Sus scrofa: one gene and its partners. The protein of the gene in region 1 interacts with the protein of each later gene in a biochemical or structural test. Links are inferred from orthologs where the notes say so. Each region holds a gene or a part of one and is shown on either strand. Other genes may lie near its edges.

Region 1 (3,746 bases):
TAAGTATCCTAGGTTTCTGGTATCCTAGAGGAATCTTGGAACCTCCCCTGCCCCAGGACACCGTGGGATGACTGTACCAGCTACTGTTTACTTAGCACCCACTACAGGCCAAGCTCCCTACGTCATTTCACTCAATCCTCATTCAACTCTGTGAGGTGTGTTGTTAACCTCATCTTCTATATTGGCTTACCCTGTGAGGTATCTGTTCAAATAGTGAACTTTTTTTTTTTTTTTTGTCTTTTTAGGGCCACACCCATGGCGTCTAGAGGTTCCCAGGCTAGGTAGGGGTCTAATCAGAGCTGTAGCTGCCGGCCTACACAGCCAAAGCAACTCCAGATCTGTGCTGCATCTGCAACCTACACCACAGCTCACAGCAACTCCGGATCTTTAACCCACTGAGCGAGGCCAGGGATTGAACCTGCAACCTCATGGTTCCTAGTCGGATTCATTTCCACTGGTCCAGGACGGGAACTCCTGAACTTTCTTCCTAATAAGAATCCCTGAAGGGGAGTTCCCGTCACAGCGCAGTGGTTAACGAATCTGACTAGGTACCATGAGGTTGTGGGTTCGATCCCTGCCCTTGCTCAGTGGGTTAACAATCCGGCGTTGCCATGAGCTGTGGTGTAGGTCGCAGACACGGCTTGGCTCCTGTGTTTCTGTGGCTCAGGCGTAGGCTGGCAGCTACATCTCCGATTGGACCCCTAGCCTGGGAACCTCCATATGCCGCTGGAGCGGCCCTAGAAATGGCAAAAAGACAAAAAAAAAAAAAGAATCCCTGAAGGGAGTGTGCACAGGAAGACCCCACACTTTGTTGTATTTTTGTACTGCACAGTGTGCATCTGTGCAGCACACTCCCTCCTTTAGCCACAGCAGAGAGAGCCTGCAGTCCAAAAAACATCTAAAATTTTCAGATCAAACAGACTCTTGAAGTTGAGTCTTACTCACCTCACACCCCCACCTCCCCAACAGTGGCCGGGCACAGGTGGGTGCTCATTAATTTATTAACTTCGCGGTCCTAAAAAAGTTGCAGCAGCCATTCTGGGGGGGGGGATCCCCCTTCATCAATCTTTGGCAGTAGCTCTGAAAAAGCTCAAGATACAACTCAAAAGCCACCACTGCCTTAGTAAAACACTCCTTTCTCTCAGCTCCCCAGAGAGAAGCAACTCCAGCATCCTGTCCCTATTTCTAACTGGAACTATCAGTCTTCATCATTTACAGGTTTCCCCAACAAGACAGTGTGGTTGGTAGAAGCACACTCTTAACATTTCTATTTTCCACACTGAGATGAAGGTGCTCATAAAAATGTATTAAACAACCAATTTCATTGTTTTAGGCAGGATAATAATTGGCACTTTGGCGCAAAAGCAATCACTACTACTAACTCCTCAATTAAAATGAAAACCATCTGCTTCCCACGTATGCATGTAGACTGTCTTTCCCAGGAAGAATCCTGACAAAAATGACCCTGTTCTCCCAGCATGACCTTCAGCACCTCCAGCACAGACCATCTAAAGATCTGAAGGAAAAGGGCCGCTTTCCTTCTGTGATGGGATTCCCCTAGCTGAAGAAGGGAGGGCAGTTTCTACCACGGGATGAGACTCCACTGGGAACTGCTGGAAAACCACAACCATTACTCAGGCCAGACAGCTGCCAAGGAAGCAGCACTGCCTCGGAATTGAAGCTAAAATAGAGGTGGGAGGGTTGTATTCCATTACTAAGCCCTGGAGTATTCACTCCCAAGTTCATCCACGTTTCAAGAATGTTAAAACCCTGTAGGCAAAACCCTGATTATTTATAACTTAAACTACTGTGTAAAGCAGAAACTTGACAAATGAAAACATAAAAGAAAAGGAACTGGTGACAGGTAAGATAATACCAGAATACAAAGTATTCATCACTCCCTTTTTGGGGGGTCCTCCAAAACCCTATCTCCATTCCCTGCCACAAATAACTTTTACTTATACTGCCGACTAAAAGAGATTGAAAGGGAAAATGAGGATTCCCATCTCCAAAGAGTCGTCAGTTCGTCTCATGCACACATGCTCTAACTTTGCATCAATTACAGAATAACTGGTTTGAAACTAAGAAGGAAAACTCAAAAGCAAACAACAGGCGACATAACAAGCTCAACGAGATGCCTCAAAGGTAGCAGGGATCCAAAACAGAGTTCAAGAGAGTTTCCCCTACTCGCGACTGAAAACCAAGTGACTTCATAGAACAGAGAAAAAGATTCAGGAATCCTGGAGGCCCTGACCCAGCACCTCTGCCGGCGAAACCTACTCCCTGCCCTCAACTCCACCTCCGGATGGAAGAATCCCAGCCACCTACAGCGCATCCGGGAAGCCCACCACGCGCTCCTAAGCTCTCTCCTCGCGACCCTTCTCCCAACCGAGCGGGACGCCAGACGGCACTTACATGGAGCCAACTTGACATCTCCCGCCTGGGTGGAAACCCGCGATCTCCTCGCACCGGCATTTTCGGGCGCGGGTCTCTCATGGACGCACCAGTCCCGAGCCCCGCTCCTCCTGATACTCCGGGCGGCAGGTCAGTTCTCAGTCCGTCAGCCGCGTTTTGCCTGGGTGACGGCCCCACGGGGACCCACCCCTTTGTCCCTCCTCCCGCGGCCGCGGCGGCTGCGGCGTCCGCCCGCCCCCGGCCGCAGGCAGCGCCTCTGCGCCGGCCGCCGGCCCGGGAAACTCTGAAAAGGGCCGCTACCACCCCCGCGCGGCCCGGGGGAAGGCTTGCCAGCGCCGCGCCCCTCAAGTCCCCACCGAGGGTTCGGGCTCGCGCGACTCCCCGCCAGGGACGGAAGAGGGTGGAGGCAACAGGCAGACACCGAGGCCCCAGCTTACCGCGCCCCCCACGTCCGAACCTCCCCCCTCTCCGGCCGGCCGGATGGTTCGCTCCGCGGCATGCACAGGGCCTCAGGTCCCGCTCCCGCCCCGCGCGTGCGAGGGAAGCGCTGCAAGTTTGCTTGCAGCGGTAAGTGTGGGGTGGCGAGTTAGTCAGCAGGTTCTCCCATTAGAGATCCTGTAAGAATGCTTTTTGGAGACTTTTGCAGCGCCCCCTCCTCGGTTCTCTTCCGAAAGGAAGAACCCGGGAAACCCCGAAGTTTTTGCTGTCTTGCCTAGAGGCTGGCAACACAGGGCACTGTACCCCAGGTTTTTCAGCTCAACAATTCCCCGAATTCCGAGGGTATAAGATGTTCATGTTAAAGAATAAAACATGATTTTTGAGGGAAATATACGCCAGGTTATCTCTTTGGCACATTTCCAACAACTCTAATAAAGAGATGGAAACTCCTCTCTCATCACTAGCTTTTAAAAGGCTTTTTTTTGAAAAATAGGTTACAAATACTTATCAGGCAGGATTCATCAAATTCAACTCAGTACATTTATTTGTTTTAGAGTCCTCTATACGAAGAAATGTGCACAATAAATAAAATCTTATTTGGGGAGTTCTCAGAGTGGCACAGCAAGTTAAGGATCTGGCATTGTCATTGCTGTGGCTCTGTCCCTATCCCATGCCAAGGGCACAGCCCCAAAATTTTTTTTTCCTTGTTTTAAGGTAATGTAAGTTATTTGGAAAATCAAGACAGGTGCACTGATGTAAAAAAATAAAACTTTGGGTTTGGACTCTAAGGAAACCACACTGTAAGAAAAAAAAAATGTGGCCATCCTGCTCTTCTAAATTGAAAAGCAAAACTCGGCCCAGGCTCCCAAGAAGGTAAAAGGTAAAAGGTCAAA
Region 2 (3,746 bases), on another chromosome or scaffold:
AAATGCACCTGAAGAAAACTTCCCTCTAGGAGGTTCCTGGGAAGGTGAAAGACATTATATCAGTTAATTTATGTGGCTGAAAGTAATCTCTCTCTCTTTTTTTTTTTATATTTTCTAGGGCTAAACCCGCAGCATATGGAGGTTCCCAGGCTAGAGGTCTAATCAGAGCCACAGCAACTCGGGATCCGAGCCGCATCTGCAATCTACACCACAGCTCACGGGACCGCTGGATCCTTAACCCACTGAGCAAGGCCAGGGATCAAACCTGCAACCTCATGGTTCCTACTCAGATTAACCACTGAGCCACGACGGGAACTCCTCATTTTGAAAGGACAATAGTTTCAATATTATCCTCAGAAGAAAAGAGTAAAGATTTTTACCTTTAGATCAAGCAAGATGGGGAACACTTATATGAGGCCACAGGGTATAGTCAAAGGTAGAGAATTCCAGAACAACTCCCCAAATCTGGTTCTCCTGCTGGCTTATAAGGACTGCTGCTTTTCTAATATACCTTCCCTAACTAGCTGAAGAAGTTTTCAAGCCAGCCCGTTTGCAACATGTTTCCCCTACCTGGTGTTCACTCACAACTGGAGTTCTAATAAGATCTAGCTTTTAGAGATGCTGGGATGATTAAATGATATAAAGTACAAAAGGGCAACACTCATCATTTCCCTAAATTGCCTGTTGGTGTGTAAATCTCCATCATTTAACAAGGAGGCACCTAATAATGAAATAAATGCAAAACTAGATAAAACCAGTGCTGTTGCTTTTTCTGAGAAAATATCAATTACTGCAGAGCCAACTTTTAAAATGTCTATTTTAGGGGACTTCCCTGGTGGCCTAGAAGTTAAGGATCTCGCTTTGCCACTGCTGAGGCTCTGGTACAGGTTGGAGCCCTGGTCCAGGAACTTCCGCATGCCACACACAGCCAAAACTAAGACAAATAAGGTGTTTATTTTAAAACACCAGGAAGACAAAATATTCAATACATACAGTGCAAAGGAAACACTGTTACACTAGGGAATGCAAAGTTGAGAACTCTACCACTGTCTGGAAAGAACTAGTTTTCTATCAAAAAGCCTAAGGGCCTTAAGAGGAAGGGATTCTCTTTCCCAGGGATCGCAATAATATACCTGTAGTGCGTGAGGGCCACACAGTAACCTGGAAATCTGCCTCCTGCCTGCCCCGGGTCACCTCCCGGGTGGGCAGGCTACCCGGCCCAGGGATGCCCCGGCTTCTCCTCCGTCTCAGTCGCTTCACCTGGGACCGGAGGGTCTTGGAGCCGCTGCTGCAGCCGCAAGGTGCAGAGGCCATTTTGGCCCCTCCGCCCGCCTGGCCCCTCCACCCACCTGGCCTCACACACTTGGTCCGACACAGGCAACATGTCCGCTGCGCGCCGGGCCGGCCCTTCCCCGGGTCGCAGGAGCGCGCGGCCGGCCGGCCGGGGCCAGGTCCCGGAGGTCATGCACCCCCGCCACTTCCAGAGCGCCCCGGGCCGTGAGCGCTCGTCGAGCACGGACGGCCCCGAGGCAGGTCCGCCCACCTGGCGGCGGCCTTTAGGTCACGGGTGAAATAGCCCAGGCGTGTGCGGCTTCCCTCGAAGTACAGCTACACTCGAAATTAAGTCCCCGCCCCCCAGCTTAAATCCACGCGGAACCACACAACTGCCCCCCAGGGGCTTGAAAACAGCCCATCGGCCCACCCCACGTCTCCAGGAATATTGCACGGATTAAATCTGGCCACCCCTTCTCCCCCTGGGGTACCCAAAAGGGTGGGGCGGGATGGCGTCGAGGAGGTCCCCCGGGGGTCCTAACCGCCACGCCCCGGCCAGCGAGCCGACCCCCCTCGCTCCAGTGCTCAGGATCAGAGCCCACTTTCCCCGAGGACCCTCTTCGCGAGGACCCTCCCTCCCAACTGTACCTCGGAGAGCTGGGCGCAGGATCCTCGCTGTTCACTTAACTTCCCGCCAGCCCCCATGTAACCGAAAGGTTGCCCCCACCGCCTAGACACCGGTGGCTTCAAGCGTTTCCGCGGCAGAAGTTGATGGGCGTCTCCAAGCGCACCCCCGCTCGGGAGGCAGCCTCTCAAGTTCGCCCCGCGCGGCTCCCTCGGACGACCCGCGCCTTTTCGCTTCCCGCGAGTCCCAGCCCAGGGACGAAACCGCCACCGAAACCAGCGCGGGCTTCCTCCCCCCGCGCCGCTCCTACCAGACAGAAGGGCCCCTCGTGCGCCCTGGGCGCGGCGCCCAACTCTCACCTTCTCACCGCAGCCTGGCCCGACCCACCTGGAAAGGCGAGACCCAAGGAGCGCGCTCACCTGGAGGGTGCACCTGACGCAGTGCAGACGGCCAGCTCGCCCCGCGGCTCAGCTGGGGACCCAGCCCTCCTCCTCTCCACCCTCCTCCCCTCTCCTCCTCTCCCCTCCTCCTCCTCTCCCCACCCACCCCGCCGTCCGGCCCACGGGCATGCGCACCAAAGCCAGGCCCGTGTGCCAGTTACCCCCCCGCCCCCGCCGCCCCGAGATCCACCTGCTGCACCCCGCGAGGGCTCTGCGGCGCTCTGTCTAGCTCTCCCCGGAGTCCCGCCGCCCCAACCAGAGGAAGGAGAAAGGGGGTGGTGGACACGGGCGAGGAGGAGTGGTGTGGTGGCCTCCTCCCACCGTGATCCATCCACCTGAAACTCAGATGGGAGGGGGAAGGGAGCGGTGGAGAAGGAGGCGGGAGTAACCAGCCCTTCGCACACCCTTGCTGCGCCCGGCGTTAAAGGAACAGTGCGGCCTTTTGGCCTGAAGCACAGGGGACAGAGCACCGAAGGGCTGCTTGGGGTGGGGTCTCGGACATTGAGAGGTTGGGGAGGGGTCCTGGACCATCTGGGAAGCGCTGGGAGACCGGTGGGCTTCGGGTAGAACTGCAGAGTGTTTGGCAAGTAAGGTCTGAAAAGTGTCCAGGGGTGCTCAGCGCTTTGACAAAAAAGGCACGATCTCACACAAAACTTTCCTGCTCCGAAAATGTGGTTAAAGTTTTGTTGCAAAGAAATTTTTGAAAGTCATGCGGGGTTTTGAGAATGGTTTCTGAATGTCTGGATCCAGAAAAAGATCATTACTCAGAATGGTTCTGTGCAGGTGAAGTACTGTAGATAATGGTGTCAGTGAACTTGCCGTCAAAATTAAGTGCATACTCCAATATACGTTACTACCGGTTCAGGGTCCTCTGCCCTTCCCTCCCACATTTAACTATGGTGTGACTGAGAGGCTGTTCTTGGGGGGATCTAAACTATATAAATAGCCTCTTTGGCTTAAAGGGAAAAAAAAAAATTGCCCTAGTTCTGTGTGCTCTCGATCCCTAGGCTCTTTCCAAAGGAGTGTTCAATTTAGGAAAACTCATAGTCTGCACTTAACGCTGTATACACTGATCTATATGCATGTTGTATTTCTTTTTTTTTTAATTGCACAACTGAATGGGGCAGTTTTAGTTCTTGCTACTTAAGTGTCTGCATTGAAGGCTAGAAATTAGCCTGTAAATCCTGCTCACTTTGTGTTTCAGTCTGGAATGTCAGCATTGCTAATAAATTTCAGTCCAATCCCACCCACTTCTCTTCCTCTAATTAAGTGGTTAGGGATGTGACTCTCTCCTACATTAGATCTTAAGACACAGCTCAATACTTAAGGAAATAAAAGCATTATATAAATATAAGGTATTTAAAAATGATGACAGCCTTAATGAGTAATCAATCTAATTGCTGTTTTTT
Region 3 (3,646 bases), on another chromosome or scaffold:
AACTTGTTAGAAATGTAAACCCTCAGTTGGGGACCACCTGCTGAATCTGATTCTCTGGGGGTAGGGTCCAGCAGTCAGTTTTAACAGGTGATTCTGCTGCTCAAACAAAGGATGAAAACTACTACTTTGGGAGAAGGAATTGGTAGGGCAGTCAGCCTCACAAAAGCTGAGCAAGTAGAGGTTTCTGGGTTTCTATTTCTAGTCTCTCAGCTTAAACTCTCTTCTTCATCTTCTAGGACCCCTCCGATCCATGGAGCAGGTGTCCAGCATGGCTGAGCCCCGGGGCCCTGTAGACCATGGAGTCCAGATTCGCTTCATCACAGAGCCAGTGGATGATGCAGAGATGGGCACCCTCCGTCGTGGTGGGCGACGCCCAGCTAAGGATGCAAGAGCCAATACCTATGGGGTCGCCGTGCGCGTGCAGGGCATCGCTGGGCAGCCCTTTGTGGTGCTCAACAGTGGGGAGAAAGGTGGTGACTCCTTTGGGGTCCAGATCAAGGGGGCCAACAGCCGAGGGCCCCCGGGAGCTCTGAGCTCTGACTCGGAACTCACTGAGAGCCCCTACTCGCAGGCCAAGGAGTTTCCTGCCACCTCGCGGGGCAGCACGTCTGATGAGGAGCCCGGGGCCCACTGGAATGGAAAGCTGCTCCGCTCCCAGTCCCAGGCCTCGCTAGCAGGCCCTGCCGCTATGGGTCCGAGCAACAGGAGCGCCAGCCTGCTGGAGCTTGCCCCCCAGGGAGCTTCCCCTGGGAGCACCATTGACACTGCCCCCCTGTCTTCAGTGGACTCACTCATCAACAAGTTTGACGGCCACCATGGGGGCCAGATCCGGGGCCGGACTGGCCGCCGCATGCGGACGTTGCCCCCTGAACAACGCAAGCGGAGCCAGAGCCTGGACAACCGGCTCCCACGGGACACCCTTGAGGAACGGGAGCGCCGGTCCCCCGACCACTGGACCCCTAGCACAAAGCGTGACCAGCACATGGGCAGCTCGAAACAGTCAGCCCAGAACCTTCTTGGTGGCTTTAGCCGCTCTCGTCAAACCCAGGACTGGGTCCTTCAGAGTTTTGAGGAGCCACGGGGGAGAGCCCAGGACCCTGGGATGCTACAGGTCAGACCCCACCCCTTCGTGGCTTCCAACCCCCCAGCCCCTTCTCATCAGCCCCGACCCACCAGCCCTGGGACCCCATGTTGATTCAAATGACTCAAGGCAGAAAGTTGCTACTTTTTATCCATCTGTTTAGTAGATGGTGTTCACAAGTACAGTATACTTCTGTGGGCAAAATTCTAAAGGAAATGGAAGTAATTATGAAATCATTTACGAGCATGGAGAGCTGCTTGTCATCGCCCGACTGTTAACTACGCCTCAGTCACTGGCTTTTGCTAAGTTTATAGCATACGTGAGGCAGGCCTGGAGAATGTGAGCTGTTCCCTCATGCTCTTGCCAAGACTCCTACCTTCGGGGAGTTCTCTTATGCGCAGTGGGTTAAGGGTCCAGCATTGGCCTTAAGCTGCAGTGCCTGGGGTCACTCTTGTGGCACAGGTTTGAGCCCTGGCCCAGGAACTTTCACATGCTGTGGGCGTGGCCCCCCACCCCCACCCCAAAACCCTCCCACGTAGGAATGCAAGTGAGTAGGGGAGTGACTTTACTCTGAGACAAAGTTAAGCCCATTCTAAAAGTAGATCATTTACAGATTCTAGTACATTAACTGCCATTAGTGACAAATAGCCTATGACACAGCTCACAGCTGGTTGAGATCTGTTTGTTGAGCAAAATCTGGTTTGCAGCAATAGTGAGAGGTGTATCCTGCTTGACTCCTTCCTGGCCTTTGCTCAGGCCTCAGAGGTGTTGCCTCTTTTTTTTTTTTTTTTTTTTTTGTCTTTTCTAGGGCCACACCCATGGCATATGGAGGTTCCCAGGCTAGGGGTCGAATTGGAGCTGCAGCCACCAGCCTACACCAGAGCCACAGCAACACAGGATCTGAGCCACGTCTGTGACCTACACCACAGCTCACAGCAACGCCGGATCGTTAACCCACTGAGCAAGGCCAGGGACCGAACCCGCAACCTCATCGTTCCTAGTCGGATTCGTTAACCACTGAGCCACGATGGGAACTCCAGTGTTGCCTCTTTACCTGACTTCGGCCTATTTGTCATGCTCGAAGGACCTTGTTTCCCACTTGCTACTTCTCTTCCATCTGAGCCCCACAATGCTTCTGGTTTATCTTCCTAATCTTTCTATTTCTTTGGTTTTACTTTTTTTTGTAGTTCAAATCAACTCCAGACCTTCTCAGAGACCAGCAGGAGGCAGCCCCACCAGGCAGTGTGGACCACGTGAAGGCCACCATCTATGGCATCCTGAGAGAAGGGTGAGTGGGGACCCTCCCAACAGCAGAGTCACACACCTCCCTTCTTTCCCTTCTAGCTTTGTTCCCCATCTTCCCTGCTCTCTCTCTCTCTCTTTTTTTTTTTTTTTTTTTTTTGCCTTTTGTCCTTTTAGGGTTGCACTTGTGGCATGTGAAGGTTCCCAGGCTAGGGGTTCAATTGGAACTGTAGCTGCCAAGCCTACGCCAGAGCCACAGCAATGCCAGATCCGAGCTGTGTCTGCAACCTAGACCACAGCTCACGGCAGTGCTGGATCCTTAACCCACTGAGTGAGGCCAGGGATCGAACACGCCACCCCACGGTTCCTAGTCGGATTCGTTTCTGCTGTGCCACGATGGGAACTCCGCATCTTCCCTGCTCTTAACCCTTCCTTCTCTCATCTCTGCTTCCTCTTTCCTCCTCTAATCTTTGCATCTGTGCTTTTATTCTCCAGAAGCTCAGAAAGTGAAACCTCAGTGAGGAGGAAGGTCAGTTTGGTGCTGGAGCAGATGCAGCCTCTGATGGTGAGTGGCCTTCTTATGGTGGGAGCAGGGGTCAGGGTTAGGGCCTTTGGGCCTTGGGATCAGGATGTGGACTCACTTCCTCCCCCCTGCATCTCTGGCAGGTGGCTTCTCCTGGTTCTACTAAGGCCTTGGCCGGGCAGAGCGAACTCACCCAAAAAGTGGAGGAGCTACAGAAAAAGCTGGATGAAGAGGTGAAGGTGAGGAAAGATAAGAGGTGCAGGAGGCATGAAGGACCACAGGGGGAAAGAACCTTGGCCTGGACTGGCTCTTCCAAGCAATGCAACGAGTCCTTGTTTGTCTTGTGCAACAAGAATGGGTGCTAGTCCTAGCAAGGACTTCTGTGGTTCTCTGGAGCTTAGAGAGGAAGAGCACATTCATCAGGGGTCCAACTACTTTTCCTTCCATTTCCTTTGAAAGTTCTTGTCCTGGCTCTGCCACTTACTGGCTCTATAAATCTTGAGCAGAATTACTTTACTGCAATTCTTTTCATCATAACAATGATGGCAATAATAGTACCTGTCATTTATTGAGTTTAAGTTTCTAGTGGGTACTATCCCAAATAGTATGTGATAATCATAGTGACCCTGTAAAGTAGGCATCTTGGACTCTTGTATGATGAGAAATTTGAAGATCAGAGAGGTTAAGTGAATTGTTCAAGGTGGTAAGTCGCAGCGGAGGAATTTTAAAATTTGGATCAGATTTATGCTCAAACCTATGTACTTCTCTTTTTTAACGCTGCTTCGACCTCTCACAGTGTG

The links.
Region 2: the proteins of TJP2 (region 1) and OCLN form a complex in vitro, tested with the Homo sapiens proteins (3 studies listed by BioGRID). The link is inferred for Sus scrofa from reciprocal best matches to the Homo sapiens genes TJP2 and OCLN.
Region 3: the proteins of TJP2 (region 1) and CGN form a complex in vitro, tested with the Homo sapiens proteins (2 studies listed by BioGRID and IntAct, with this or other methods). The link is inferred for Sus scrofa from reciprocal best matches to the Homo sapiens genes TJP2 and CGN.

What each region holds. Positions count from the first base shown.
Region 1 is NC_010443.5:222,523,676-222,527,421, reverse strand, and holds the start of TJP2 (tight junction protein ZO-2), read right to left. Parts: upstream 2,671-3,746; 5' UTR 2,497-2,670; coding exon 2,416-2,496; intron 1-2,415. UniProt on the Homo sapiens protein: Plays a role in tight junctions and adherens junctions. Acts as a positive regulator of RANKL-induced osteoclast differentiation, potentially via mediating downstream transcriptional activity.
Region 2 is NC_010458.4:47,599,115-47,602,860, reverse strand, and holds the start of OCLN (occludin), read right to left. Parts: upstream 2,687-3,746; 5' UTR 2,528-2,686; intron 2,371-2,527; exon of another isoform or gene 1,921-2,370; intron 1,495-1,920; exon of another isoform or gene 1,350-1,494; intron 1-1,349. UniProt on the Homo sapiens protein: May play a role in the formation and regulation of the tight junction (TJ) paracellular permeability barrier.
Region 3 is NC_010446.5:97,720,379-97,724,024, reverse strand, and holds part of CGN (cingulin), read left to right. Parts: intron 1-236; 5' UTR 237-250; coding exon 251-1,111; intron 1,112-2,268; coding exon 2,269-2,369; intron 2,370-2,818; coding exon 2,819-2,888; intron 2,889-2,989; coding exon 2,990-3,085; intron 3,086-3,646. UniProt on the Homo sapiens protein: Probably plays a role in the formation and regulation of the tight junction (TJ) paracellular permeability barrier.